Linked DNA regions of Rhinolophus ferrumequinum. The protein of the gene in region 4 interacts with the protein of the main gene of each other region in a pairwise test. Links are inferred from orthologs where the notes say so. Each region holds a gene or a part of one and is shown on either strand. Other genes may lie near its edges.

Region 1 (8,069 bases), on a different chromosome or scaffold from region 4:
AGCAAACAAGAGTATAAATTTCCGTTTAAAACAACAACTTTAAATTGTGATTTATCGCCTTTAAAATAAAAACTGGCAAAACACACACACACACAAAAAAAAAAAAAAACAAAAAAAACCCTACTTTTGTTTTTAAAGAAAAAGGATTTGCAGAAGAGAATTATCTAAAACAGCCTAATGAATTAAAAGAATAACTCTGTGCTACTCCTGAGGCTCATTGCTTAACATAGTGTCTAAAACTGCCAAACAAATCAAAAGAGAAAAAAAAAAAAAAACAAGTATGTGCTGTGGCAGCTTATTATTTTAACATATCAAAAGAATTTAACATGACCAATCAATATAGTTTTATAAATGGAATATCCCTAGACATAATTCTATAAATATTTACCCCCAAACATTTTATATCTGTAACTTGCTTCCAAAAGACTAATGAGATTAGCTTCCAATTCATTGCAGTTATAGACTATGAAATAAAGCCAAAGTTAATGTCACAATATGAATGCAGTGAGGCAAATGCAGCAAAGCAGTGTCTTGTATCTAGTCCCATAATCCCAAATTATTGCCACAGTAATCTTTAGCAATTGTTTCTGCCTCTAAGAATGAATAAATGAATACAATGGTTAACATAGCAAAACCAGGAACAACAGCCTTCTGATTCAGAGGTTATAACTTAAAAATACATATCTGGTCGCCTTAAAATCTTGATCAATTTAAGACCCTGAAGAATTACATATCCACAATATAACTGCATTCTCTGAAAAGCAAAAAAAGTTCAATACCATTTATTTTGAAATGGTATTGATTGAGTGAATCTTATTGAGGAACTTCTGCATCACTAAACTGTGGCACAGTATCCTAATGTCATTACAAAGTTCTATTTTTAAATAATGATTATCAAATAAACAATAACAGCTTCTTATAATTGCCAGGGAACTGCCAGAGAGGGATCTTTGGCTTGGGTTACAATGAAACAGTTTTGAAATCAAGCTACCATTTTCTGAGTGTTTACTATGTGTCAGATATTGTGCTAAGTGCTAAGTGTATTTACCCGTCTTTAATCCTCACAACAACCCTATAAGGTTGACACTACTATTATCTGCATTTTACAGAGAAGGAAACTGAGGCTTAAATAAGTTAAATAACTTAAACCTAGAACCTAAGTATGCTTATTCCAAAGCCTGCTCTTAACCATGACGAGAACTCCCTCTCTGAATTCTCCTTGAATCTGCATCACATATTAACAGAAATGAGGCTGAATATTACCTGTATTCTATATTGTAAATGCTTAATTAATGTTGACCAATCACACTAAATTTAAATTTTTCTTAATCCTTCACAGTCTTGTGTACTTTACAGCTGTTTACTATTACAGTAAGTAAGTTGAAAGTAAGCTTAAAAATAAAATCTGCAAACGTGGGTGTCCAAGATTTCAGAAAATATTAGTTAAGTGATATAATAAAATGCATAAAAAGAGCCAACCTAATTACACATAACTTTTCCCCAGTTTTATCAATTTGTACAACTTTGGCCTAGTCATTTAGTCTTCCTTCAGGACTCATTTTTCTCACCTCTGAAAACGAGCGATGGACTAAATAACCTAATTGAGTATAATACATTATGATTCTAAAGTTATCAGTTCTTAAAGGAAACATATCTGGGAGGGAGGAAGGGCTTACTTATACCCTGAATTTCTGTTAGAAAACACACATTTGAAGTGGGGACTTAGATTTACTATGCTAAAATTCCCCCAAATCCTTTGAGAACAGGATATGGTTTAATAATAATAGTAATAAACAGCTGTTATTTATTAGCCTGTTTTACATACATACATACATACATTACCGACTCCAGAGACGACACTCTTATCCCCACTTAACTTCACCAATCTTTCCTAAGTCACCTTAAGTAATGTGTCTGTGGTGTTTTAATATTAAAACTTAAGAATTAGGGATAATTACTAGTATAAAGTGTCCAGCACAGAGCCTGGCACAAATTCAATAAATAGTCATTTTTGTTTCATTATTATTCATATTATCAATAAAACTCTTTAAATAACTCAAAATCCTGTCTGGCTAATTAGACCCGCACGGGAAGTCCCACCATCCATAAACCATCTCAAGACGGGGGGATGCTTTGGGTTAAGAGAACATTTATAGCAAGCAACAGTGAATTTATGCACGGAGTACCATGGCTAACCACATACTTAAAACACAGACAACAAAACTGCTTTCTGGAATTAGCCACTTTGACTTCCCCGTGGACCTCCCTCTCTCCAAAATTAGACCAAACACCAATAACAGAAAGCCTTGTCAGGGAATAAAGATTCGGGCGGCCACGGCACTTCTTGAGAAACTGACACCGGGACACAGGACACACCTTCAGTGTCACACAACGCAGCCACCCCTTCTCCCCTCCAGCCCAAGGGCAGCCCAGGGAGTGGCAAACGAGCTTCAGGTTTTAGTGGACAGCTGAAACCATTCTCCCGGTCAACCTCTCCCCCGGCCCCCAAACCCCCAAGACGGCAGCGAGCTGCTCGAGCGCCCGGTTTCTGAGCTGAGCATGGGGACTGGGACAGAGTGCGGGGCACGCGACGGGGCTGGCTGGCGCGAGAAGCGTCACCGCCAGGCTTTCCCAGGGCAAAGGAAGCGGCGCTGGAAGTGAGAGCCCGGCCGGGGTACCTTGCGTCCAGCGGCAGAAGATGGTGTCGGAGAGACCGGGACTGCTCTTGGTGCCCCATACCAGCTCCACCAGCTCTTTGGTCAGTTCGGACATGATGGGCTACCGGCGAGCGGGTTGTTGCTTCCAGGACTCCTGCCCCGGAACATGGGGAAGGGGCGGCTCCGGAGACAGGAGTTGCGGACGGCAGCAGCAGAAGAGTTGGAAGGTTAGACGCAAGGAAGACGAATGGAGAGATCTACAAGCAGGGACCGAGCCTGTCAAGCCCAGTCGGACCGGCAGCTAAGAGTTTCCCGTACCGGAAGTGTCCGGGCCACTTCCGGCTCCTCTCTTGCTACCGCCCCACACCCGGAGGGCCCGGGAGTTACCTCCCCGGAAGTGGAAATGGGGAGCGGGAAGAGCGACGGACCGCGGTGGAGGCCACTGGTGTTACTGAGCTGGGGGCCAGGCTTTTAAGTGCAAGTGGTGGCTTTTGTGTAGTAAGCACACCCCATCCCATGGGCGTCGGCATGTTTCTGACATCCTGAACCACTTCCTCCGTCTGCGCACTGCTCTGGTTTTAGCTGGAGGCTCTGAGACCCAAGCCCTACAGCCTAAAGCATAGTCTATTCCTTAAAATGTGTAATATTCACTACTCTAAATTACAACTGCAAGATCATGGTTAAGTTTCAATGAGAAAACATGCACGTCTGTGTCGAGAGCCCTCACTAAAGTGAAGGCTGTCAGCATCTGTGCCTCAATGTAACTCATACAAAGTTGAAGCAGCTATTAAAATCATAAGTGAAGAGGGAGGTGTGATGCGCATTGGAAATATTTCTACCAGGTGTAATGCAGATTTACGAAGCTATTTATAGGAAAACAGATTCAAAGCAGCCTGTTTGTAAATGGTAGAGCATTTCATCTCCACTTTTTGAGACTTACATGGGCAACACCTGAACTGAAGTCCAGGTTTTAATCATTGACGAGCATTCAGTTAAATGTAATATGTGTGAAAACTTCTATTTGTCCTGCTTACAAATGAAGAGATCTTTACATTCACTGACCTTTGAATTTAAAACAAAAGGGTAAAATTTGTTGGGTTCTTTCCTAGTTACGAGTAAGAGGGTTTTGCTGACTTATACTTTATTTCTGACTTCAGCAACCTTTGCTGTAGTGAAAAGGAATTGTTCAAAGTGCCTGATCATATCCATAGCCTTTCTCCTCATTTTTATTCGCTTTGGAATACACTTTACCCTAATTTTGCAAACCAATCTTACTCGTTTTTCAAGACAGTATAAATGCCACTTTGTAATAAGCTTCCTGCAGTCATTATAATCTAAAGTAAAAATGATAGTTTCTAAAATTCCATAGTACCTACCTTGCTTGTAACTTGCTTATGACAATTATTGTCATCCTTGTATTGGTGTCATGAGGGGTCTCTGGTCCTGCTTCCCGCACAAGAATGCAGGATATGGTGAGGCCAAAAAGGAACACCAACGGAGCCAAAGATAGGGGAGTCATATCACTATAGTGTCACTGGCCACTGGGTTGGAGACACAGGAAACAGTAGCCACTCGATCCCCAATCCACTGTCCACTTCTCTGCCAACCGACCAAACCAACCAACCAGTGCAGCCACGGCAGTTATATCAGTGGCTAATGGCTAACTGGTAACAGCTGATGGCCAACCAGCCACAGCTGATGGCCATTTACTACCCGAGCCAGCACCTTTCCACGTGAGGCCAAGTGCTTGGAAACTACTCTCTTAAACTCTGTCCTCACAATTTGCAAACAAGTACACGTATTTACTCTTCTCCTGGGATATAAATTTATGGAAGCCAAGGACATATCTTATTCTTAGTTCCTAATATGGAGTCTTGAACATAGTTTCTAGTATGGAGTCTTGAACATAGTTCCTAGTATGGAGTCTGGATCTCTGTAAGTATTAGTTGAATGAATGAAACTTGCCTTTACTAGAACTTAGGAATTCACTATCTTCCAGCAAGCGAAGGATCAGGGGATATACCATGTTTCCCCAAAAATAAGACCTAACCAGAAAATAAGCCCTAGCATGATTTTTCAGGATGACATCCCCTGAACATAAGCCCTAATGCATCTTTTGGAGCAAAAACTGGTATAAGACCCGGTCTTATTTTCAGGGAAACATGGTAGTATTGACTAGTCCAGTTAAATATCTTAATATTTGCATGGTGCTTGACAATTTACAAAATTATTTCCCTTCTTGAAAGACATAGAAAGGCCTTTATTCATGGAGCCTATGAGTGGCAAACCTCTAAATTTAAAAGCTTGCCACATTTTTCTTTCCATTAATATAGGAAATTATTAATAGTATAGTATATACTGGGGGTGCTAAAAATGTGTATATACATTTTAAGCGATGTTATTACCACTTTGATCAACCTTGCTCAAGCAATAGTTCGCCATAATCAGAAGTGTCTGGACACTGATGGGAACCACTTTGAGCACCTCTTGTAAAGGTCGAACATGACTTGTATTTATTTTTTGAGTATTACAATTTTAATACAGTTTTTTCCTTTCTTAAAAAGTGTATACATTTTTGGAGCACCCTCTGTATAATACTACATCACATTTGTTTTCTTTCCATTAATATACAGATGGTTGTTATAGGTTTAATTATCTATAGATATGAAGTAAAAGCTTCCCTTTCAAAATGCTTTTGTTTTTTAGTAGAATATTTCTTGATCTGTGATTTTTCTTAGTGTCCAGCTTTGGTGAAGTTGGCAAAAATCTTGGGTGGATATTGATAGGTATGTCCTTTTCACCTTTAGGCTATAGTCTTTATTTACAATGTTTAAAATTTTTTAATTAGCATGACATTTTTAACAAGGAATATTTGATTAATGTTAAATTACGTTGCTTAATTATTCACTAGTTATACATTTAAATTTAAATTGTAAACTTGCTTAAACTACAATAGAAATGCAAATTAATATTTATTTAAAATTTTCTTATATCTGGTCTATATCTGGTATAGGACAATAATGGCCTTCTCTTTTATTATAATGACTTAAAATTATGTAGATTTTCTTTGAAGTATTTATAGTGCTTCATATTTTAGCATTTTTTCCTTAGGACCATCTGTAGTTTTGATTAAACTGATGTGTAGCATTAAGATGTACATAAGTCGCATGAGTGATCTTTAGTCCTAAAAGAGAGTCCTATAAAATCATAAACTTCCTGTTCATATGTAAGTTTTATTAGTAATGCCTCTCTTTCTATCTAATTCAAGTTCAGGCACTTCCATAAAACTGGGCCGAGATTTCCATCATGATTAATTCTCTGTAGCCATCTTTACTACTTCACAGCAACAGAATTAATTCCTCGTCATCAAACTCTAACTCTGTGTTTAATTATTTTCCTGTTTTCCCCCAAATTTCCCTGACAAAGCACATTAGCTTCATTACCTGGGTGCTATTAACTACCATGAAAAGAACAATTCTCTAGTGGAAGTATGCAAATCCTACTTTTGTGTATTTGCACCACCACCTATCAAGGAGAAATCAAATCTTTGAAAAATCCACTCTCCAATAAAATTAATAAGCTCTAGGCAGGTAATAAAAACAATCCCATACTCATTTATTAATAAAAACGATCTCATTTATATGCCCTATCTCTTCCAATAACAGCATAAATCTAGCACAAAAACAAAACTGTTTCCTTTGCCTCACCTAACCTCAGGATAATTTTCTTACTAAGCACACCAAGTTCCTTTTAAACTCACCACTGTCATACTCAAGTTTGGTACAGTGCCTCATTTCCCAAAGCATTTTTGATAGCATTATGCTTTATTTTGGACTTCAGCAACCTTTGTGGTAGTTACAAGGAACTTTTCAATGTGCCTGAACCATATCCATATGGTGTAAAGGGGGTTCTATTATTAAAGGCTGGGTTAAGTAAAGTTGAACAAGTTGTTCACTGCAACTCTCCAAGAGAAAGGATTGTATTCAGGGTTAAATGACACATTTGAGTCATTTTATTCACTGAGCTTCTCACATAGTTGATGTTCTACAGAATAATATTTGGGAATCACTGGTATAATACAATAGAGTTTTGACTGGAATTAGAACATACAGATGTTAGTTCTTATTTGGGTACTAACTGTGACCTTGGATGAGTCACTTAACTGGCTATACTGTGTTTTCTTCATCTATAAATGAATTTTAGATAATCTCTTAGGATCTCATTCATTTCAGATCTTGTCCACTTCTATGATATTAAAAATTGGCTGTTTAGAAGTTAAAATATATGGACAGAGTAGGAAGAAGAAGAATCTTGAACAAGTATATAAACAAGTAATTTAGCATTATTCTTCATTAACACATAGAATAAGAGAGCTTATTTGCCGCTTATGACTTACTTGTACTAATGTTATGAAATGAGAATACCAAAGCCCAACTTGTATATTAACCCCAAACTGACTATATTAAACAGGTATTTAATATTAGCACATTTGGATGTGTCATAGGCACCTGAAACCTAACATGTTTCAAATCAACATCTTTTTTCTATAAAACCTGCTCCTCTTTCAATGTTTCATAATCAGTGAATAATACCATCACTTACCAAAAAACACATTCTTAATGTTCTCAATTTCAATAGAAAGAATAAACAACTTCTTTGAGGCTCAGTTGTCACATTCATAAAACATGCTTATTAATAATAATTACATCGTCCAATGATTATGGGACTTAACAGAGAAAACTGTATGTTGAAAAAGAAATAGGCATGTTAAAAAATACTGTTCTTACATTAGCTGTATTAATGGTTTGACCAAAGTACCAAAGTACCAAAGATAGGAGCAAAGATGGATGAGTTACTTCTGAATTTGAAATGGAGAAAACCTCAGAGAAGTTTGAACTAGATAGGATTGGGACTAGAGAAGAAAGGGAGGATGTGCATTTTAGACATGAAATAGTGTGGTAGGAGCTTGGCATTTGCGTCGCTAGAGAGAAATGAGTCAGGAATATCAGGTTGAGGAGGGTTCTGTAGACCGAACTGTGTCCCCTTTGAATCTATATGTTGAATCCCTAACCCCCAATGTGACTGTATTTGGAAATGGGCCTTTAGAGAATTAACTAAGGTTAAATGGGCCGTAAATATGGGGTCCTAATTCAATAGAACTCGTGTCTTATTAAGAAGAAGAAGAGACACCAGATCTCTCTCTCTCTCTCTCTCTCTCTCTCTCTCTCTCTCTCTCTCTCTCTCTCTCTCCATGTGCAAACAACCAAAGGCCACTTGAGGACACAATGAGAAGGTGGCTGTCTTTAAGGCAGGAAGAGAGGCTTCACCATTAACCAACCCTGAGGGCACATTGACCTTGTACGGGCAGCCTCCAGAGATGCTAGAAAATTAATTTCTGTTGTTTAAGCCACT
Region 2 (7,690 bases), on a different chromosome or scaffold from region 4:
CCAGTGCCATTTGTAACCAATAACTGTACACAGTTTGCAAAGCATGTTAGTAGAAAATCAATTTTTTAAAGAAAGAATGAGTAGAACAAATTATTAAAGGAACCCACGTAGAATGCCAGTGAAACTATTACAGATTTTTGAGAAAGTAGATATTACTGAAGACAGTTCATCTTTATCTAGAAGTCCGTGAACTGAAAAAAGTTAAAAGGTTCAACACCATGGCATATTATACATGCAAATTAGCATATATTTTATTCTGTAATTTTGTTAGCTTTATAACTCTTAGTTGGGGAATAGGATAAACATCATCCAAAGCAGAAATTTAAAACAAAACCAAAAGTATTATTTTCCTTTGTGTGTAGTGAGTGACAAGTATCACTGCTAAACACAAACAAAGCAATTTGTACTTCTTAATTAATCCTTTCACCTTTTTCACCCTGTACCCCAACCCCCTCCCATTTATCACCCCAATAAATCTAGTACACATCTAACACCACACATAGTTATTACAATATTATTGACTATATTCCTTATGCTATGCCCTACATCCCTAAGACTACTTTGGAACAACCAATTTGAACTTCTTAATCCCTTTCCTGTTTTCATCCATCCTTCCCCAACCCCCCTCCAATCTGGGAATGATCAAAATGTTCTCTGTAGAGTCAACAATATTGTGATAGAGTGTCAGTGGTTGCGGGACTTATCATGGCGATCACTTCTTTAGGTATATAAATGTTGAATAACTATGGTATACACCTGAAATGACTTTAATAGTGTATGTTAGCTATATTTTAATAAAAATCTTTTAAAAACTGCTAATGAAATTCTCATTTTAGCTCTCATTCTATAAAATACTGTATCAGACCCTGAGGTAGGAGCAAGGGATATCAAGACATCCCTTACACAGTCCCTATCTCTAATGCTAGTAGATTTCCCAAAACAGCAAAAGGAATAGAAAACCTCGGTGTTCACTACTCTCAAATAAGTTAGATTAGCAGATCTGTAATGCAGTGTGGCTAGAAATACAGAGATATGGAGCTTTTCTGTTAAGAGGTTAGCAAGTCTGGATTTAGAAGGGGATGGAGAGGTGGTACCACCCCCCACCTCTCCCTCGACTCCTGAAGGTGTTTAAATTCTAACAACATGAGGGCATGGACTACTACTATTATTTAAGATAGACTAAAAAGCGTAGTTTTTCATACCATCTCCAATTATATGAGTTCCAAACTCCTAAATACCCTCATAGATAAACACTTTTTAAAGGTCTGAAACACAAGCCATGGTAAAGACTAACATGAACTGACAGCATGACAAGTTTCTTCTATGAGTGTGGTAAACATTCATAATGATTATGATGTCAAGCCATTATTTGCATGCAAAGGATTTCCTTCCTCAAAGCACCTTTATCTTAGTAGCATTTTTGGTTTCATTGGATTGAAAGTAGAAGTGAATACTTATTACAAAGCCACCTCCCTTTTTGAATAGTGGGGTTTCAATAGTTTGGTGGCTTTCCAGGTGAAAGGTCCCAGCCGATGGGCTCTTGAGCACTCAGCCTATGAATTTATTCATGCAGAGTCCACTGGTATCCTTGGGCTCTGAAGAGCTGTGAGACCGATTAGGGTGAAGCAGAGAAGGTGTCACAGAGGAGGAAGGCAGTCCCCACATAAGTCACAATTGTGTAGCTGTGTACAGTGCACATGCTGCATCTCTTGTAACATCTGGGACATAATAAGGGCTCACTATGCTTTTCCTTCAATTTACTTTTAAATCACTAATGTTATCTATCTGAATACTATTATAACTGCCATGAGTTAAAACACTGCACTTGTAACTAATGTCTTGAAAACAGGGTCATATGAAATCTATAACCTGAAAGTGAGAGAAATTTCCTTTTAGACTTCATACGTATACTCACCACTTAGAAGAGCAAATGCCAGGGCCTGAGGGGGCACAGAGAACCTAGACAATCCTGGCAAGTTGATAAATTAAGAAACACACTAAAGCACCTGGCACCTGCAGCTCCTTTAACCTCAGTTCCGTTTCTCTCCCCGCCACATCGTTCCCATCTAAGAATTGAAGTGGTAATGATTCAAAAGGAATAATCACACTTGACTCCCAATTCCCCAAATCTGCAAGGTCCCTCAGAGATTTAGAAATGTGCTTATGCTGGAAAGAAATGAATAAATTCCTCTTAGCCAAGGTAATTATCATCACTGATTCCTACTTATATGATCATTTTGAAAGTAGAATCCAGATATTAATCTGAACATTTTAACTTTTAAAGTAATAGTTGATAATGTTTCAATCAACAAAATGGGAAGAAAAAGACCATAAAAAAAGGTAAAAAGCCCACCACTTCAGTAGGTATTAGGATATTCACAAAATGTTGGGAATTTTGTCAGTGACTCACTCCTGATAAGCATATGGAAACTTAAGGCACCCTGTTTCGTAAAATCCACGCAGTGATAACGAAAGGTAGTTACAGTTTATGTCCTGTCATGTAAGACAGTTAACCAGATCAGCGGCAAGTGTTTGGGGACACGCCTTCCTACCTGCCTCGCCTTACCCTATCCCCGGGACCTCCGCTTCATCCCGGAGCTCCCCGATTTCAGGTGCCAAGTCACAAGTACAAACTTCCTCTTCTCGGGCGAGGGTGGGGCCTGACTGGGTCTCGAGGGCCTCGGCCGTTGGGCCCCGACAGAGAGCGAGAGCCAGGCCCAGGCCCCTAGACCTCTTGACCTCGCCACCCTCCGGTGCCCTACCGGGCACCCCCAAACCCGGCCGAACAGGCGCCGCGCCCTGCCCGTCCCCCCACCGACTGCGCAGCCCCGCACCTGAGGATGTTGTCCGCGTAGGTGAGCAACAGCTTGGAGGCTTCCAGAAAGGTCTCTAGGGTGTTCTGGCAGAGCTCGGCCACAGCAGGGGACGTGGAGTCCGCAGAGCCGCCCAGCGCCGCTGCCGCCATGCTTGAGCGCCCGCGCCCGTCGCCGCCCCTCGCGCGCCGCGTCCCGCACTGAGCAGGCGCCTCAGCGCGCGGCGGCCACGGCAGCGGGTCCGCAGGGGCCCGCGGCTCGGCGGGGCCTGGGGCACGGCTGGGGGTGCGGATCTTGGTCGGGAGGGCGATGGGAATGCAGGGGCCTTGGCTGGGCCGGTTGGGGGCTGTTCGGAGGCTCAGGGGTTTTGACTGGGTGCGACAGGAACCAGGTTGTCAGGGCCCCGCGGGCTTCCACCATAAGGGGCGGGGTGCTTGCTCATCAGGGCTGGGAAGCCTTGGAGGTCTGGCGGGGTACCTCGTAGTCAGGGCTGGGGTGGGGCGTTCGTGGCAGTAGGTGGGAGGGCTGGCCGAGAGGGGCGGGGGGCTTCGTCTAGGAGGGGCGGGGCTAGCGGGTGCGGTCCTGTGCGGGCCGGTGGGTCGCAGAAACCTGGTTCCTCCCTACTCCGATTGATCCAGCCACTGAGGTGGGGAAAACCCCTATACCTTCAAACACGCTTTCCTCCAAATAAAACAATCTTTGAGCTTCCTTCTCGAAGATTGTCAGGCCTTCCTGCATAGATGTGATGAGACCCCAGAAGGAAGGAGCAACAAACGTTTAAAAAACAACAAAAAAAGCAAAAACCGCGTGGCTGTAAACTCTGCTGGGTTTCTGGTATATGGATTCTTTTTAGAATTAGATGAATGATTTAACATCTCTTATGCTCTGGTTTCTCTTCAGATCATGTCTTTCACCTTAAAATCTCTTGCATAAGTTCCAGCTTAAATAGTATAACGCCCCTGTAAAGAAGTGTTTTTCAATCGCAGGTTACAATGTAGTGTTTTATGGACTCAGTTTACCTTGTGACCAGCATAAAACACATACCCAGTAGACAGAATAGAATAGGGAGTGGGGAGAAGGAAAGGCAATAAAAATATTCCATATAGTAGTAAGGATAAGTATTATTTTTTTGTTTTTCTGGTAGATCATGTAATCAGTGACCTTTATTCTTTTTAGAAGATGAATCCTAACCTCTATAATCCATCCTGTCCTTACCATGCCCTTGAAAATGTACCAGTAGCTTCCTTCTTTGCAGAAATTGCTTTCCAAACCTCAACAAATATTTTTCTTGACCTTTAAAAGATATTTGCCTAACTTTTTAAACTGTTCTTGATGCTTTATCTTGTTTGCTTTTAAAATTTGCAATTTTCTTCCAGTATCTATGAACAAGACCCAGAGCTATGCCATCTACTTCAATTACCATTCATCTGCCAGATATTTGGGAAGTTTTTAATAAATATGTAGGTTTTTAGAACAGCTTCCAAGAATAGTGTGTTTAACCCATAGTATGCTGTTAACTGCTGTAACTAAAATTTTCAGTGACTTAACACAAGAGAAATGTCTTTCTTGCTCACTTAATAGTTTAATAATGTAGGTGTCATTAGTCATTGGGACGCTTTCCTCCATGTAATGATCCAGGGACCGAGGCACTTTCCATCCTATAGAATAGAGGTCAACAAACATTTTCTTTAAAGGACCAGGTAGTAAATGTTTAAGGTTTTGAAGCCATAAGGTCTCTGTTTCAACTATTTATTAATAATTCTGCTTCTGCAGTTATATAGTTCCATAGACACTATTTTAAAATGGGCTTGGCCATATTCCAATGAAACTTTATTTACAACAACAGGTAGCCTGCTGGATTTGGCCTGTAGTTTCCTAACTTCTGCAATTGAGCTTCAGAGACTTCTGAATTTAGTTAATGGTTGGGAAAAAGGCATACCTGCATCATAACCGCATGGGCCCAGAAATGACATACAGCATTTTCTCTACCATGTCATTGGCAAAAAGGAAGCCCTATCTAGATAAAAGGAGGGGAGGCTGGGAAATGTAGTCAGTCCCTGGCTGGACAGGCACCACCCAACCCTCTATAAATGATGGAAGGTGGGAGGACTGGGGTTATAACTAGCCGTTTCTATCACAAATTATATTCCCCTTGAGTTTCTTTTTTCCATTAGCACATTTATTTATCCTTATAATAACTGTATAAAGTTATATACTATATAGTATTTATGACTTCTTTTTAAAAGCAACAGAACACTTTTTTTTGCAAATAAAATCTTAGGAGGAAACCCAGTATATGCAAAACGCCGAAGTGGTGGTGCTCTAGAAGTGAAGTAGGTTGACTGTGTGTGTGTGTGTGTGTGTGTGTGTGTAGGAGGAACAGAATGCTTTAGCTGAGACTTCCACTTGACAGAGATAATGGCCTTCCAGTATCTTTGTGGTGAACATGTTAACAGTATGAAAACCAATGCCAGAGTTAATACTGTGATAATAATGTGCAGTCCATAAAATCATAGATATGATTAGTTCAAGGGTAATTCAGTATGTTATTTTAAATTACCTGGAATTTAAATCCTTGCAAATTACTGTTTACCAATACTTCCATTAAAGTTCTTGAGTAACTTAACAATCTCTCTTGGATACCACCATTTGTAAAGCTAGCAAGGGAACTTATTACTATAATAAGGGACTTTGACTTACTCTTTTCCCCGTCTGCTTCTTCCATTTAAGTCAAGTTGAAAATATTGATGTTTCAGTTTCCTTTACAACTAAAATTAAAAATATTAAGCTACCCTTAATCTCTTTATCCCACCATTGCTTTAAACTAAAGAATGTTCTCGTATTAAATCAGCTTTGCACTTCCATTCTTTTACTTGATTTTTTTGCTCCAAAATGATTTTCTTTTCCAGGATTCAAGCTTTATTAATCACGTCATCTTTAGAATTGACACATGATGGCACTATTCTTAAATAGAGCAGAAAAAAAGAATTAAACCATTACAATTTCCCCAGGATGTTTTGTCAAAAAAGAAAATGCTGACCTCAATAAAGACCATCAGCAAGCAGATACGTTGAAGCCTTTCAGTGATCGGTGTAGTGATTCGTTATACCGTGATTGCCTTACATAATCAAATGACAACTATTGAGCACCTGATGTGTGCAAAACAGAGATAATTGACATGAGACTTTTAATTTAGTAGGAAAGCTACAACTAATGATAATATCTTACATACAGAGAGCTATTTAGTTAATGAAACAAAAAAGTAAAAATTACCTAGTAAGAAGTGCACAAAGTGATGCATGTCTAGGAGCCAATGTGAGGGTATGTATTTATTCATTCATTTCGTCATTCATTCATTCACCAGTATTTATGAAGTGACTACTAAATACCAAGCACTGTGGTAGACACTACGAAGCAGTGAAGGAGTGGAGCACAGGCCCTGCTTCATGGAAGTCATGAGTTTACACAGTGTTTAGACCCGCAGCAGCAGCAGCAGCACCACCAGGGAACTTGTCAGGAAGACAGCTTCTCAAGCCCCAGCTAAAGGTGAGGCCCAGTAATCTATGTAGCAGCAAGTCTTTCAGGTAATTCTGATGCACAGTAAAGCTTCAGAACTGGTGTAGAGGAAGGAAAATTTCACTGTGAGCTTCCATTTCGTGTAAGAGGAAGAATTTGAATAGAGCCCTTACATTTGGAGATTAAGGAAGTGAGGACTTCCTAGAGTGAGAAACCCCTCCCCCCATTTAATAGGGACAACATCCTAGCAATGTTGCCTCAACATCGCTCTCTCTTCCTTGCCATTACCTTAGTTGGAGGCCTCATCATCTTTTCTTCAGCCTTAACTCTCTTCCCATATCCATTTCCATATCCCTCGAATTCACCTTGCACACTACTGTAACAGTGATCCTTTTAAAGCACACATCTGGTCATGTTATCCTTCTGGTTAAAAAAGAATACGGCTTCCTATGGCTACCTCTCGCCCACATTCGAAAGTCAAATGGTGTCAGGAACCAAGCAAGTAACTTCAATGTATAAAGTGGCTTTCTTCTTGCCAAAGGAATAGCAGAGACTCTGGTGAAGGGAATGAGTTTACCATATCTTTCCCAGAGGAATTTAAATTCAATATAAGAATGTTGCCATCCAAATTAGACCAGGACTGCCAGGCTATCATCTCTGATCTGCAGTACCCAATCGAAAATCTTTGGCATGACACCTAAGACTTTTTGGGATTGGTCCGTTTACTCTCATGCTTCATACCACACCTCAAATCTAACACTGGCCATACTGAACTACTAGCAGTTTGTGGAAGATACCATGTCTCCAGGCCTTTGTTCTACTCCACCTGTCAGGATGCCCTCCCACTCAATTTACTAGATAAACATTTACTTATTTTCAAGATGCAGCTCAAGGATCACTTTTTTGAAGACTTTCCTGACTTTGGAAGGTAGCGATGACCTACTTGTTTCCTTTGTATGATAATAATTATATTCTTCTCTGATACCACCTGTTCCTGTGAGTATTTGCACGGTTCCATGGCTGTGTCTCTCTACTAGACTATGAACTTCTTGAAAGCAAGAACCATGTCCTATACATTTTTGTATGCCAGCTTTTAGCACAAAATAGGAGGAAAATGAATGTCGAAGAAAATAAAGCACAAGCAAAAGATACAGAGATGAAAACAGAAAAGCTAAAGTCAAACTAGGGATAGTGAGCAGATCAATTTTGCTGGGTGAAAATCTATTTAATAAAGAAAGGGAGCTCTATCTGGAAAGATGATTTGTAATCAGAATACAAAAAATTTAAAAACCTCCAAAATCTGAATAGAAAGCTATGATAAGTGGACTGCTTTTGAAGATTTTGATTGAAGAAAATACCAT
Region 3 (8,068 bases), on a different chromosome or scaffold from region 4:
CTTCATTCTATAAAACAGTGTCTAGGTCCCTAGGTAGAAGCCTTCCATTGCTGTCCTAAAGAATCCTCACTTGGGATCGGAGTCTATGTATCAAATTTCTAAGATCCAAGGATCCTACACTTAGGAAAACTATAAAGCACAAAAGCTGAAGATACATATTCAAGATCAAACTATGACAAGCTTTAACTGTACATAATCTGCCTCCAACTCCCCTCATTTGCATTATCCAAACCTCAGAAAAGCAGCTCTGCAGTTTTCCTACATTTCTTAACTGGCATGGCCAAACTTCAGCAATCAAGCAAAGAACACATCAGAGAAAAAGGAAGCCCTTTGACTTATACTGTAACAAGCTACTTTGTAGGTAAACAAAAGACCCATGAAAGTCTTGTGTTGTGCTGCTTTAAAAAAAATTATCACTAATCACACATCTTTCTGGAAGAAAACAAAAAAAGAATATTGAAAGTACAGGAAACTGTTCCAACCACCAGATACAGCTATTTACATAAAACTAATGTTATACATGTGCACGCGCGCGCGCACACACACACACACACACACACCATTTTTTTAAGGAGAGCAGAAAATAGACTAAAATTTTGGTTGTGCAATACGCACTAGACAACTCTCACTTTACTGGTAATTCATCAAGTTTAGAAATAAAAACAAAGAGTTTCACTTTTGTTTCTTGTAAAGTATGAAGTTTACTTCCTAGTTACTAGCTTGAAGTCCACTTCCTAGTTACTAGCTTGGTGGATTTAAATCTATCAATTTATTTGAAGTAGACAGTATAAAGTATTTATACCCATATAAATATTTTTAAAATAGTTCTAATCTGAGTAACAAAGTAATAGTACATAAATACAGGAAGCAAACAAACACATTGTTTCTTTTAAAAAACACATAAATACCATGACAGAAGTATAATAAATTATAATGCTCTAAAACAATTCCCCAATATCAATGAAATGATCTGACATACACACTCTAAAAATAGCATCATAATGATAATACTTTAAATTTAACAACTATTGTCTTTATGTAAGGAGAGGGTCCATTAAACTATGAAATTGGACTTGATGACCAAGATCAAGTAATTTCAGTAATTTGATTCCTGATCTTACAATTTTATGCACAAAACTCTGAAGCATGCAGATCTGTATTTGGTTCTATACTAAAGAAATACTTTAAGTCAAAATCAATTTTATTAATAAAAAACTCACAAATTTCTTGCCATTGTTCAAATTTAAGAGACGTGAGAATTAGCTACATTTTCCACTTTGAAATAGACTTTAATATTTGACACTGAAAAGAACTATAAATAAAAATAACAAACCTATTAAACATTACTTAGTATACATATGATCCCAAGATCCTGTTCTAAGTATTAACACTTTATTATATACTCAAACATCAAAAACTAAAGTTTTAGATATTCAGAATAGAATAGAGGGGATTTAGGAGATGAACTGTTGTCCTATTATTAAATCTAGAAATTATTTCACTCTGCAAATAATTTGCAGTGTGCAATAATCTTCTAAATTTACCAGTAACAGTTAACCAATACACAAGTTCCAAGACAACTTTCTCAAAGTGCCTAAAATAACAATGCACTATCCTTGCTTTCCAAAATTCTTGAGCATCTTCAATTACCTCGTGTACCATCATAAAATTCTAAAAATAATTTCAAAGCAAAAACTTAGCAGGCTGTAAATAAATGCATAGCCCATTTTAGGGCAGGAGGCCCTATTCTATAACCAAGCACAGGTAGGATATAACCACGTCAAACCTGTAACAGGGCGGGGCACTATCCCTCGCTCAGATAAGCCAAACACGTCTTTGGCAGCCGTTGACAGTAAACCAGTTATCTCCATAATTCTAACACGATTAAAGCACTGTTTTCTTTTTGTCCAAATGCTTCTCTCTCTCTCTCTCTCTCTCTCTCTCTCTCTCTCTCTCTCTCTCTCTCTCTCTCTCTCTCTCTCTCTCTCTCACATACACACACACACACACACACACACACACACACAATAAGTCATAGCCAACAACTACTCTTCAGAACATAGTTCAAGCCATGATAGTGCACTGGAGATTCTGAAAGCAAAATCTAGAATAAAAGGAGCACCTCTCACTACTCACAACGAACGATCTCAAGCTTCACAAACAGATTTTTTTTTTTTGAAACTTGAGTGACCATTTGAATGTGTGACTGAGGCAAGAATCAAGGGTGAACGATGGAACAAGGTCAAACTTAGGGGACAAAAGATTCCTGGAACAAACATGGCCAGGAAGGTTTCCTTTCTTAAGGGGCAGTTTCAGAAAAAAAAGAAAAAGAAACCGAAAGAGGAAAAGGAACCAACCAAATCCTCTACTTGTACATAGAGTCCACCTGGTAAACGTACCTGCCCTGCCAGGCAAGCAATTCAATTCTGGAGGAGACCCTTTTGCAAACTAGCAGGCCTGGAATGTCCCTGCCTTCGAAATACAAACTGTGTTCAGAACGGATGACAACTGGCTATTCCTCTTCTTGTTTTAATAAAGTTTAATTAAGAAGCCATATAAAGCAGTGTAGGAATGTGAGAGTCGCTCCCAATAAATACCAGGCTCCGTTGGTTGCAGGAAAACAATCAGCAAAAGGAAGTGGATTGAAACCCGCTAACTACTTCCCGCTTCCCACACGCAGCCCGGCACTGGGCGCGACACCCCCGAAGACCACCGGCAGAGGCGGCGGGTGGCGGGGGAGGCAGCCCGGGCCGCGGAGGCCCGAGCGCGGGCGGGGAGGCCGGGGAGCTCGGGGTCCCGGCGGGTGCGGACAGCACGTCGGAATGAGGAGAGCGGCCGGGCTACGCCGGCTCGCGGGCTCGCCTCACCTTCTGCGCCGCGCTCTGCTGCAGCACATTCTGCTCCACGGTCATGGCCCCCGCGGCACCGGCGGCGACACAGGCGGCGACACAGGCGGCGGCGTCCGGCTCCTCGCGCCTCCGCCGGCCCTGGCTGCCACGCTGCGCCGAGCTCCAGGCAGCGGCGCGGACGGCCGGGGAGGACAGCGCCCCGGCCAGGCAGGCGCGAAGGCGATGGCGGCAGGCGTGCGCGGGGACCGCGGGCTGGCGGCGCGGCGCGGACGGCGAGGGCCACGGCGGCGAGCCCACAGCTCCGTGCGGCCGCCTCAGCGCGGCTGCTCCGCCGCGGCCCCGGCCATGGGCGGTCGGCGGACGCTGGGGCGCGGGAGGGCGCGAGCGAGGCGGGCCGCGTCACGCGCGCGCGCGTTCCTTCGCGGGCGCTCACGGGCCACTGCGGGGAAGGCACAGGGAACGGAGGGAGCGGCCGGCCAGAATGGCGCTATCCTCCTCCCTCCCCTCCCCCAGCCGCCGTCACCGCCCCCGCCCGGCGGCTCCTCCCCCGCCGAGCCCCGCCCGCCGGCCGCCCTAACCCTACATTGTGACCCGCGGGGCGGCGGGGCGGGGCGGAGCGCCCCGGGGTCCCGCCCCCCAGTCCCGGCCCCGCCCCGCCTGGCGCGGGCCCGGCGCCCCCGGGTGGGGCGAGGGCGCGCCTGGCGAGCTGGGCCTTGGAGCCGCCCCTGCGGCAGGTTACGCGACGTCAGAACTTGGCTCCGCTAAACTCCACGCCGAGAGCGGAGGGCTGCGTTCCTGCTTGCGCCCTGGACTTGTCCGGTCGCCGGCTTTCCCAACTCCGCCAAGACAAAACATTTCTGTCTAGGCCCCGTAACGTCCCCAAACCGCTTGGGTCCCGAACCCCGGCTCCTTTCTACGTCTGCGGTCCTCTGCCCTCTCATTTCTAGGAATTTCACAAGCAATAAACTTGCCCTAAGGGAAAAGAGTGATTTAAGCGTAGGGCTGTCAGAAGTCCTTAGGCTGGAATGCACTTTTCTCCTTAAGTAATCAGTACATAAATGATTATTGGCATTCTCGGTCTACTTCATTCATTCGTACATGTGCCAGTCACTGCCAGGATCTGGAGAAATAAGGTTTACTTCTCCAAGATTTGATGTAAATGAATTACGGTCTATACAACAGACATTACAGAAGTATCACTGCCTACATGGTGCATAATTTTAGTATTCCAGTTGCCAAACTATCAATTAACCACCCAGCATGGAATACTTGACTATATATGGAATTATAAGGGAAACCGAACATTGAGACAGCAATCTCTACCCTCAAAAATATCTTGACGTTCAGGAGTTAACCTGGGGATTGGAGGTGAGGGTGCTGCGGTAGGAGGGGCGGAATGATCAGTGCATATTGTCCCAAACACAATACACACATGCAAATCCGGTTTTTAATCTGTTGACAAGAAAAACAAACTTGGTAAATGATCATTGAAATATTATCTAGTTTTATTTAATAATCCTGAATCAAGTACTTCTTAAGTCTTTGTAACAAATCTGTTCACTTTACAACTGACTTTGTACCTTAGATGTCTTTAACCACCTTTTGAGATCTTTCCCTCGAGTCTTCACATATTTTGCTCATTTGATTTTGACAAATTACAAACTTTATTTTATTGATATCCTGTGTGTTTGCCAGAAGAATTTGAAAAGTAGTGAGATGGTTGGAAACCCAGGATTTTAGGAATAATGCAACAGTCCTGATAGAATGCAGAAATTTTTTATCAGAACACTGAGACCCTAAGAGGTGACTTGTCAAAGAAGGCATACTAGAACCCATTTTCCTCATTTATAGACCAAAGTTCTTTCCGACATATCTTCATGTTTCTCTGTATTATAGATTTTGTTTTAAATCTATCTGGTTCATGACATTTGAATTTAAGAAAGTTAAATTTAACATAAAATCTAGTACTGTGGTTTAAAAAGATATTGCCCGATACTAAAGATTAGTCTCAAGAATTTGGCAATAAATCTTTCTTTGAATTAAATGTTTTAATTCCACACACAAAAAATTATCATACCCATTTTTATACCCAAATAAAAGCTCTTTAGAGGGTAGTCATACTTGCGAACTTTGAGCATTGATTCCCAGCTTGCTTCTGATGGTTTCCTATTTAATATTTTTTAAACTTAATTGTTATTTTGTAGAACTTTAATAAGAAATTTTCAAGTTTCCTTATATGCGTTCTTTTTTAAAAAAGAGTACAATTGGAATGAGTAAAAGATGGAAATTTGAGAATTTGAGATAAATTCTCACATAAGACCCTTTGCCAGATATCCCAATTTATTTACAAAATTTGCTCAGTGTCAGTTGTGCTGTTCAGAAGTCAGCCTTAGTATATATAGTTGTTAGAGTAAGATAGCCTCAGGATACTATTTAATCATTCCTAAATTGTTCCATTACTCTGATATTTGACATTCAGGTAAACACATAAAGTGATAGAGTTCTTATAAAATGTGAAATTTAGTTTTTAACAAGTCTATTTTTCTATTTTGGATCAAAATGATGTTTCCAACAATATTCACTATTGTGACTTGTATGTGAACCAAGGAAATTGGTTTTCTTCTATCTTGATTATTCATTTCTCTTTATTTAGAAAGGGTTTGAAAATCCATTTCTGGACACCAAAAATTTCATATGTTACTAAAACACATTTGTAAGACAAGAATAAGAGAGAATCATTTAATTAGTAGTGTAGATTTGAACAATTTCCATGATAAAAGAGTGGTTCTTAAATCTATTTCAAGGAGGTTAAGAATTATTTTCCTTCTTTAAGTAAGTATGTTGACATCCTGGGATAACTCCCCCCCACCACCACCAATTAGGAAACCATAAGCATTATTATTATTAAACCTCGTTATTCAAAGAGGAGCTTTCTATGATGTCACAATGGTACCATTCAGTGATAGGGCATTCATAGATTCAAAACTGTAAAAGTGCTATCTGCCTGATACAGTCACAATAAAATGCTTATTGAATGAAGTGGGCAGCCATGAAGGAGAGAAACCAAGTTTATTGATGCTTTTGCAGTGCATGTCTAATTTGAACTTCTCATTCCAATTGCACAGCTTTGTGGTTCTGGAAGCCATGTTGTTTTACATTACAAAGCATATCATTTTAGTATCTCCAGCAGCCAATGGTGCCTTACCCATTGAGAATCTTTAAATATTACCTTTTAATTTGCTAGGGAAGTCATCACAAAATATCACAGACTGGATGGCTTACACAACAGAAATTTATTTTCTCATAGTTCTGGAGCTAGAAGTCAAAGATAAACGTGCCAGCATGATTGGTTCCTCTGGCAGCCTCTCTCCTCAGCTTGCAGATGACAGTCTCTGGCTGCCTCTTCATACATGGTTGACCCTCTGTGCGCATACTCCCCTGGTGTCTCTTCCTGTTTTTGTAAGGACACCAGTCATATTGGCTTACGGCCCCACTCTAACAGCCTCATGTTAACTCAGCCAACTTATTAAAGACCTTACCTCCAAATACAGTTATATACTGAGGTACTAGGGGTTGGGACTTCAAAACATGAATTTTGGGGGAGCACAATTCAGCTCGAAACAGTCATATTTAATCTACTTTACTTAATCCTACACTTCATGCCTATGTGCCACTAAATATCCTTTTTCCTGCTCCATCCTATCACCTCATATATTGCTACGAGCTGTATTAACACTTTAAAGGATAGATAGACCTCTTCATTTTCTGCCAATACTGACATTTCCAATTAGAATAATTTTGGGGGAAAGAGTTCTGAAATAGAAATCTAGTTTAATGTGAACTATTTTTTTTTGATTTGCAAGTTCTGCTTTAAAAGCAAGGTCCTACTTGGATAACAGCTACGCTTTATCAACTGAGAGCCAGCACAAAAGTGGTGATTTCTTGTGTGAATCACTTGCTCCCTTACCTTGAACGTGCCCAAAGGCATTCTCGGGCAATGAAAATGGTTAGTCCCCAGGCCCTTTCTCATTCTTACCTTTCTTCCTCTTCTACAGTAGTAGGCATACACTTCCCTGAAATTATCCTATGACATATATGGACAGAGAAAATTATATAAGTTAATGTCACTTCCCAAGACCTCTGTCTTCCATATTCAGGGCCCATGATGGCTACACATATACAAATCCCAAAGAACAACCCAGGGACTGCTCGCTCTATGATCTTAAGCAACTTAAGCCTTTTGGATAATCCTTGCCTGTTTGCTATCAGGTAAATTCCATGCATTTCTATTGTTTTTCTCTGAATCACAGAAAAAACTATCCCTGCATAGTCCATGCTCTCAGGTCAGCTGGTTTGAGAATGGATTTGGCCAATGAGAGACGTAGATATTGTATTGGGGGAAGGAGGGAGAGGGCGTGAGAGAAAAAAAAAAGCCAGGCTATTTCTCTTTCTCCTTCTTCTCCGTTTGGGTGGCATCTCCTTGGGCCATATGTCTTTGGGGGTTCTAGCTCTCACCAGACTGGCCTACCCTGGTTCAAGGTCCTGGTGGAAATTTTGCTTGCTTCCATCATCCCTCCAATTTAAGAGTCAAAATGAGTTCTTGCTGTTGCTAAACTTGGTTTAACTCACTGTCCTTGTTTGTCTTCTCAGGTCTTCCGTTACCTGTATAACCCATTCTTCGAATTAAGTAGGCCTTGATTTAAATATTTAGAGAGTATTTTGTTGTTCTGACATGAATTTAAGTTATACATGTTCTCTGGGTCAGTTCTGCCATCTATAAAATGAGAATAATAATATAGGGTTATTCTGATGATTAAATGATTAAGTAAATGTAAACTACTTAGACCACTATAAGGCAAAAAGTAAGTACATAATAAATGTGAGCAAGTTCTTGCTATTATTATTATTAGGGCTTCACTGAGACCTATAAATTGAGAAGTTAAAACCAGTAGATGAGCACCAAGAAGAATTAGTCAGCTGGGATTGAATATTCTGAGTCTAGGACAAGAAGCAGAGTTAAGTAGGTCAGTTTACAAAATCTGACAGGCTAAGAAGGGACTGTTCCACTGACATTTCTGTAATAGTTTCATATATCAAATTATGTACAAAAGAACTTACTTTGTTATTCCTAAGCAGCTATTTATTGCTAGCTTCAAACCCTTGGTGATTATTTGTGTTCTCTCTTGGATGGTAGAAAAGACACAAAGGTCAGATGTAAA
Region 4 (7,669 bases):
GGGGCTGGTCCCGCAGGAATTCCAGGGGGTTCTCTCCCACTGGCAGGAGGAAGGCATATGGTTAGACCCCAGGCTGGGCTCCCAGAAGCATAGGGTTTGGGGGGAGAGAAGTCAGATGCCTTGACAGCAGACACCCCACATGCACACATCCCAACTCACTCACCTGCTTCTGTAGCTGGCTGCTCGGACACCTGGCTCTCCTGGACAGAGCCGTGTTCTGGCTCGGGGCTCCCAGGAATTCCCTGTCAGGGCTCCTATTTAGTTCTAATGCACAGACCACCTGCTGCCTCCCTCCTGCACATTCAGCCCTGGCAGGAGACAGGTGAGGCCTGGGCCCCGCCCTCCACAGGCCCAACCCTCTGCTCACGTCCAGCCTCCTGAGCAGGGAGGTTTTCCTGGCTCGAACCATGACCCAAAGGCTTTTGGGGGCAGGTTTTACCTCCCTGACCACCTATCAGAGTGCTGAAGCCCACGTATTCCCTGGAAGCCTCCCTAGGGGGCAGCAGCCCCACCTCACCGTGAGTAGATACTCCACGGCTCGGTGGGGGTTGTTGTAGCTGGCTCTCAGGGCGGCCACGACCCGTTCCCGCTCATAGCCCATGGACATGATCTCTGTCAGCATCGTCTCATACTCGGAGCCCGTCACTGTGGAGGGAGCAGCAAGGTCTGGGTCACCCACAAGAGGGAAGGGCAGCTCCCAGGCCCTCCCAAACCCACACAAGGCCCAGCTGATGGCTGGGGCACCCAGTCACTTCTGCCATGGGGACCACCCACCCACCTAACGTGGAGGCCGCGTCTTCCTCTCGCCCGCTGCTACCTGAAGAAGGAACAGAGCTGCAAATTCAAGAGAGAGAAATCGGACCCTGACTTCTGGCGGCTTGCCCTCCCCCCGGGTGTGTGGGACCGTATATGTGGGCACTGCAATGTGCTGGAATAGGGCCCCACAACGAGGTTGCTGCTCCTTGCCTTACCCCGACACAGACTCTGGGGACGTCGTGGGGACTGATTCCTCCGATGGACTCTTGTCCTCTCTGGTGGTAGGTGAGGGATGGGACATGCCTGAGGCAGGGGCTGGCGGGAAGGATGTGGAGGACTCTGGGGCAGCAGTGGGTGATGCCTCTGGGGGTACTGAGGTGCCTGGGCTGGTTTTGGCCTGTGACACCCAGAAAAAGGGAACAGGCATCAGTATCCCTATCACGCCCCAACATCCCGCCACTTCCTAGCCCCGCCCTGTTCACGACTAATCTCTCCAGGGCACACAAGCTCCTCAACTTCCAAGCTAATCAACATGCCCTCCCAACCAGCACACTTCACCCACCTTCGTCACCATGACAACCACAAAGTTCTTCTCATCTATGCGATAGTCCCTGATGGGGACGTCATCGCTCAGGATCTTGCCAGCATAGATGAGTTTCTGTCCAGCCACCGGGAAGGCATCACGTCCCTTCTCAGCTTCTATCTTCTCCTTTAGCACCTTCACCTGGAGGGAGGGGTACAGTCATTGCAAACCCCAAGATTCTCTCTTCCCTTCTAGTTTGGTGATTGAGGGGAGAGGCTGGCAAGCCCTGATGATGGAGAGGCGAAGCTTCAGTCAAGCATGCTAGATACGAGTTCATTTGATCATCCCAACATTCAACTGAGTATTTACTGAACACTTAATGTGCCAGACGCTGTTTCAAGCACTAAAGACACCGGAGGGGACAAAATCAAGACTCTGCTCTCATGGAGATGATGCTCAAGTGGGGAGACAAAAAAACAAGTATATATTTCAGGTAGTGTAAAGTATAATGAAAAGTGAAAAATAAAAGGGAGACAGGCGAGTTCCTCATTTAACACTGCAGACAGTGGTCAGTTTTTACTGAAAGCATCTAATTTGACAGAGATGTCATAAATGTATATGCATCACACTTTTAAAGCCTCATAATTCTATGAGATAGATACCATTAGCCTCATTTCATATTTAAGAAAACGGAGGCACAAAAAGGTTCAGTAACTTCCCCAAACTCAAATAGTTGAGCAGGTCAAAAAACCCGAGTGTTTCCTTTTCTACAAAAAGTGGATGTCAATGTCTCCCTCATGGAGTATTGTGCAAAAAGTATCAAATACATAGTTAAGTCACTCACTAAGGCTGGTTAGGTCCTAAGTTTCTTTTCAGCTAAAAAGGCAGAATGTCTGGGCTCTAACATGAGGAAGAACCGAATTTGAGTCCTAACTCTGCGAATACTCACTGTGTTTGTGGCAAAGTTCCTTAATCCTAGGTTTCTACATCTGTAAAGTGGGGAGTCAGAGTCCCCAAATGAAAAGCCTGTTTTGCAGATTTAGTAACATAACAACAGTAAAATGCCCAACGACTAGCAAAGAACAAACGGCCAACAAACACGGACCACTGAAACTCAGACCATTTATTATCAGTATCATCGTGTTGCAGTCATCAGTCGGCATCTCTAGGCCATTACTCCCAGATTCGGCCACCAACGTCCCGAGGAGACAGACGTCTGCAAAGCTGGGAACTCAGAGATCCCCGTCGGGGAGAGCGCAACCCAACCGAGAATCTGAACCTGTGGCTCCTGCGCCCCGCAAAGGCGCTGACATTGGAGCCGGGGCCTGGCAGGCGTCCCGGGATGGGGCCTCGTCCGAAGACCGCTCATGAGCACCACCAGAGCCGCCAGGGGCTAGGCCGGAGACCATCGTGGCGGGGATGGGAGGCGGTGGTTCCGGAATGTCAGGCAGGTTGGGAGAGCGCAATTCCCCCTGCACCTCCCACCGGGATCTCGGGCCCCCCCGCCCCCATCCCACCCCGCGGCACCAGTCACTCCGCCCCCGGGCTCCAGCCTGGCTCGCACCGTCTCGTCAGGCTCCATGCGGATCTTAAAGGTCTGCTGCTGCAGCGTTTTGAGCGTGATGGTGACGGCCATGGCGGGGCCGAGCGATGGGGCAACCCCAGGATCTTCACACAACATGCAACTCACGCCGCCGCCATCTTAGCGCCCAGCCGCGCCGCGCGCCGACAGCTTCCGGGGCAGGCGCTGCGCGCGCCGACTATTAGAATGCGTGACCTACGCACCTCCCTCCCACCCACAACCCGGCTTTCGCGAGCATGCGCACAAGAACGCCCTCGGACCAGGCGCAGAGTAAGGTCGGCTCCCGGGAAGGGGAGGGTGTATATCTCTGTGCGCGCACACTCGTCACGTGATTTCCTGTCAGTGACGCCATACCCGTTTGCGGTGACGTCATACGGCCATAAAATGGCTCCAAAGTCCCCTTTCAGGCCCTCCTGCGTTTAATTTCATGACGTAGAACAAAAATTTTCGTGTACTTGTTATAGCTATTTGTGTTTCTCTATAAAGTCTTTGTTCACGTTCCAAATGAGTTTTATTCTGGTCCACCACCCTGACAGGAACCTGATCAAGGCCCTGAGAGTGAAAATTACTCAGGACTGGAAAAGATACTCGGAAGGTCACGAAAAATAAAGAAATTAAAACTCTAAAAAAAAAAGAAAAAGCATTTGGCTGTGGAAGCTGGAACACGGGCCATTTTGTGGACTCATTCGTTCATTCCTGAACTGGATTTTTTGGAATGATCCCTACCGTTCAAGTTCTTGGGTCTCCCACCTCTGCGCTACTCCCTCCCCAACTACTTTGCTCACTCCACTATACCCAGTGCGACCCCAAAAGTATTTAAGATGTTAACTTTCAAGGCCTCCTTACGCTAAATACATAATTCTCTCCATAAGCTTGCCCTGGATACACCAATCCTGGAGGCTTCCCAGAGGGGTGGAGCTGGGCCACAGGACCCAGGATGAAGCTTGAAGGGAGCCCATCCAAAGAACAGACTTCCCAAGCCTGGCACCAAGCAGGCAGTCACATCTCAGGCACACCCAACTATAACCAGGTCCTGCTGCTGCTTTCTTTACTGTGTGCCAAGCCTAGAAGCTTCCACCAGGGTAGGCCATGCCCAACTGAACTTACCTCTCCCACAAGGTCATCAGCTGCAGACCACCTACTAGACTTCAGTGGCAGCTTTATGGACCCTAAGAGTGGGCCTAGGCCAGCCTCAGGAGCCCAGACCTTCCTCTGCCACTATCTCAGCCTCTGCACCCTCCCTGGAGTCACCTCTCTTGAAGAGGTTCAAATCCCAACTTGGCCACTGAAGTCCATGGGTAAGCTATATACACCTCTGAGCCTATTTCCTTGATTGTAAGTACACAAGGAATAGCTTTTACCACTGGCTGGCATTAAGGTTTAAAAATTATCCAATTGTTCTACGTAGTCTTGCTCCCTAATAGGTGTAGAAGTACATACGATTCAGTATAAAATAGTATGAGATGGTGTCTAAGATGTAGGTTTAAATCCCTGCTCCACCTCTGACTAAATTCTGGACCTGTCTTCTCATACTGAACTTGTGTTAGAACCAAAACTCACCAGTTTGGTGCAAGGACTCAATGAGTTGATACATAGAGTATTTGTAATGGTACTTAGTTCATCTCCCACTGCTTTGTGGGGGTAACTGTAACCTTATGGGACACTCAGCCAACACTTCAGTGGCTGAAAAATAAGCCTTACTCAAATGTCAACCCCTAAAAAAAGGGCCACTTTTGGTTCCCTAATGTCCATCCTCCCCCAGAAGGAGACACAGGAAGAAGACACAAAACTTAATTTAATAGAAATTTTGTTTGTAGTTCTTACATTCTGTATGAGCTGAGTTGGAACCCACTGCCCCACCCAGAAGTGGCCCAGTTCTGGAGGCAGGGAGAAAGGGAGGAAGTGGGGGTGAGGGGTCGGAGCTCGGGCCCTAGGAGCCCCATTCTTCCTCAGTGCTGGGGGTCTGGGACACCACGCCCTTTTCCTGTCCCACTCTGGGATTCAGGAAGGTGAATAGTCGGAATCTTGGGCCTGGAGCTTCTCCTCCCCACCTCCTCATGCCCCCAGGTTGGAGGGGAACTAAGGGACATGGGGAGAGAAGAGACAGAGGACGGCGAAGGGTCAAGAAAGATGAGGGCCAGAGGTGAGGGCTGAGGGAGAATCATAGACAAAAACACCAGTTCAAAAAACAAATAACAAAAAAAAAAGGGAGAACAAAACCAAAATCCACCCCAAATCCGAACCCGCCTGGAAAAAAAAGGAAAGTTCTCCAGTCTCATAGAGACATTATTTGGCGCGGCCGGCTGTGCGGCAGGAGCGCTCAGGCCTCAGTTCAGCCCCGGAAATGGCGGTGCGGCCCCTACAGCTCATCCTTGGATGGGCCGGCGGCGGCCTCGTCCTCCTCCTCGTCTTCCTCCTTATCATCCTCGTCCTCGTCCTCGTCTTCCTTGTCATCCTCGTCGTCCTTGTCCGCCTCCTCCTCCTCCTTGCGCTTCCTGTCCTCCTCCTCCTCCTTCAGCCTCTGCTCCTCGTCCTGCTTGTCTTTCATTTGCTTTTCTGCCGCCTGCACAGACCATACACTCAGAACCTGGCCCCCACCTGCCAGCCCTGCCTGCCCCCCCAGCCAAGAACTGGACCCAGGCCCCACCTTTGTGACACCCCACGTCTCATTGCCGAACTCTTCCGCATACGCCTCGTCGTTGGTGATGAGGAAGTTGTCAAAGATGGTGCCAGACTTCACCTGGGAAGGGGAGGATGGATAAAGGGGTGGCCAGAGGGAACACACCACGCTCCTGCCCTTCAGTTCCATAACCACTCCACAATGCCGCAGCCTAACTTCACACTTAAAATACAGGCTGACTGAGTGCAAACCCCAGCTCTGCTATTTCCCACCTACGTGACGTTGGGCTGGTGACTTTTCTATACCTCAGTTTCTTTATCTGTATAATGGGATCTCTTCCTCTTGTTCAAGTATTTTTCTAGCACCTACTATTGGCAGGTACTGTTCTTAGCACAGAAGGTATATTAGTGAATGAAACAAACAAAAATTTGGTCCCCGTACAGCTCATTTTATAAGGGACTATCTACCTTCTAGGTTGTTGGGGGCAGTTAATGAGTTGGTTCACATAAAGGTTCTTGGGGGAGTGCCTAGCATAGCATGTAGAACCTCAAACGAGGTGCTGTGAGAACGCCATAGAAACAGACCAAGAAATTCTTCAAAACAGGACAATTTTGGGGTCAGACCTACCTAGGGTTGGATCCTATCCCTGTCCCTTTCCTTCTGGGTGACCTTGAGCACTTGAGGTCCCCTAGGGATCCTCCTGTTCCCTCCATGTCTCACCTGCCAGAGGTCTAGGCCCAGCACAGCAAAGTTTTCATAGGCATAGATATTGCTATCCGGAGAATACTCAGGGTTGTCGATCTCTGGGTGGATCCAAGTGCCCTTGTAATCTGGGTTGTCAATCTGTCGGGGCTTCCACTCACCCTGCAGAAGAAGGGAACTGGAGGTGAGAAGAGGTCAGCATGCTCCCCACTGTGTACCCCCATCCTGCTCGGGAGCCCCAGGCCCACCTTGTATTCTGGGTTCTGAATCACTGGTGGTTCCCACTCTCCATCCATCTCTTCATCCCAGTCCTCAGGCTTCTTAGCATCAGGGTCAGGGATGTGCTCAGGCTTGTCCCAATCCTGAGGGCACACGAGGAGATCAGAGTCAGCCCAGCTCTCCGCCACCTCCTCCATGGTGGGGACTCCCTGCCCAAGCACCAACCTCAGGTTTGGAGTCTGTGGGGTCATCAATCTTGGCCCGCTCATCCCAGTCTTCAGGCTTGGAAGCATCAGGATCCTTTATCTTCTTAGGTGGCAAGAAGTCCCAATCGTCTTCCAGGGAGCCCGACTCCACCTGGCTGTTGTCAATCTTCACCTCATAGGTATTATCCGGCCGAACGATCAGTGTGTACAGGTGTGTGAATTCATCATCCTGAAGAGGGCGGGAAGTAAGTGGCCCCACCCACCAGGCTGGCCTCTGAGCCTCCCCAGGCAGCCATTTGTCACCACCCCAGGCACACCTTGCAACGGATATCCTTATTGATTAGCACATTCTTGCCCTTGTAGTTGAAGATGACATGAACCTTCTTGGTGCCCGGGCCACAGATGTCAGGGCCTAGGTGAGAAGCAGGTCCAGTTAAGGGCCAAACCCTGCCCACCATAGCCAGCCCCCGCCCCCTACCCCGCCATTCTTCACAAAAGGAAAACCTCTTAAACTTAGGTCTGTAAAGACTCAAGAGACAGGACTCAGACACTGACTGTCTCTAAGGGACAGTCTCTAAGGTGTCTCTAAGGTGGAGCCTTGGAAAAAAAAAAAATTCATGCTCTAGAATACAGTACCCTCACTTGTAAAATTGGAAAATGCCTATGTAAGATCACACATATTAACAGACTTAGACCAATAATAACAATGCAATAAATTGCTGCTGTGATTATCCCCTCACCTTACCCTTCAAAGAAAAGCCTATGTGTTTCCTGTGCTTTCAAGACCACCTGTCATGGGATACAAGGAACCTATGGGATCTCAGTCTCCCTCTAACTAATCAGAGGTCAGCACCAGGGTGGGGCCCCTCACCAAACATAATGTTGTATTCAGAGTCTCCGTGCATGTCTGTCTGTTCCAAACTATCTGGAAATAGCTTCACATAGCCGCCCCCACAGTCGATGTTCTGCTCGTGTTTCACGGTGAACTGCACCACCAATGTCTGGTCCTTGTTGCTGAAGGGCTCAAATCTGGTCGACAGGGCGTAAAAGCGGGCATCCTG

The links.
Region 1: the proteins of RAD23A (region 4) and MINDY3 interact in binary tests that used the Homo sapiens proteins (3 or more experiments, as listed by UniProt). The two-hybrid records come from large-scale screens. The link is inferred for Rhinolophus ferrumequinum from reciprocal best matches to the Homo sapiens genes RAD23A and MINDY3.
Region 2: the proteins of RAD23A (region 4) and NGLY1 interact in binary tests that used the Homo sapiens proteins (3 or more experiments, as listed by UniProt). The two-hybrid records come from large-scale screens. The link is inferred for Rhinolophus ferrumequinum from reciprocal best matches to the Homo sapiens genes RAD23A and NGLY1.
Region 3: the proteins of RAD23A (region 4) and USP25 interact in binary tests that used the Homo sapiens proteins (3 or more experiments, as listed by UniProt). The link is inferred for Rhinolophus ferrumequinum from reciprocal best matches to the Homo sapiens genes RAD23A and USP25.

Annotation. Positions count from the first base shown.
Region 1 is NW_022680355.1:2,201,583-2,209,651, forward strand, and holds the start of MINDY3 (ubiquitin carboxyl-terminal hydrolase MINDY-3), read right to left. Parts: upstream 3,003-8,069; 5' UTR 2,773-3,002; coding exon 2,679-2,772; intron 1-2,678. UniProt on the Homo sapiens protein: Hydrolase that can remove 'Lys-48'-linked conjugated ubiquitin from proteins.
Region 2 is NC_046300.1:23,284,535-23,292,224, reverse strand, and holds the start of NGLY1 (peptide-N(4)-(N-acetyl-beta-glucosaminyl)asparagine amidase), read right to left. Parts: upstream 3,045-7,690; 5' UTR 2,966-3,044; coding exon 2,835-2,965; exon of another isoform or gene 2,736-2,834; intron 1-2,735. UniProt on the Homo sapiens protein: Specifically deglycosylates the denatured form of N-linked glycoproteins in the cytoplasm and assists their proteasome-mediated degradation. Cleaves the beta-aspartyl-glucosamine (GlcNAc) of the glycan and the amide side chain of Asn, converting Asn to Asp.
Region 3 is NC_046285.1:10,682,074-10,690,141, forward strand, and holds the start of USP25 (ubiquitin carboxyl-terminal hydrolase 25), read right to left. Parts: upstream 3,074-8,068; 5' UTR 2,913-3,073; coding exon 2,868-2,912; intron 1-2,867. UniProt on the Homo sapiens protein: Deubiquitinating enzyme that hydrolyzes ubiquitin moieties conjugated to substrates and thus, functions in various biological processes including inflammation and immune response.
Region 4 is NC_046301.1:48,674,777-48,682,445, forward strand, and holds the start of RAD23A (UV excision repair protein RAD23 homolog A), read right to left. Parts: upstream 3,030-7,669; 5' UTR 2,961-3,029; coding exon 2,844-2,960; intron 1,481-2,843; coding exon 1,319-1,480; intron 1,154-1,318; coding exon 972-1,153; intron 835-971; coding exon 779-834; intron 646-778; coding exon 518-645; intron 243-517; coding exon 164-242; intron 40-163; coding exon 1-39. Other genes in the region: CALR (calreticulin), read right to left, coding at 5,221-5,424, 5,509-5,601, 6,202-6,345, 6,432-6,545, 6,628-6,837, 6,926-7,020, 7,480-7,669. UniProt on the Homo sapiens protein: Multiubiquitin chain receptor involved in modulation of proteasomal degradation. Binds to 'Lys-48'-linked polyubiquitin chains in a length-dependent manner and with a lower affinity to 'Lys-63'-linked polyubiquitin chains.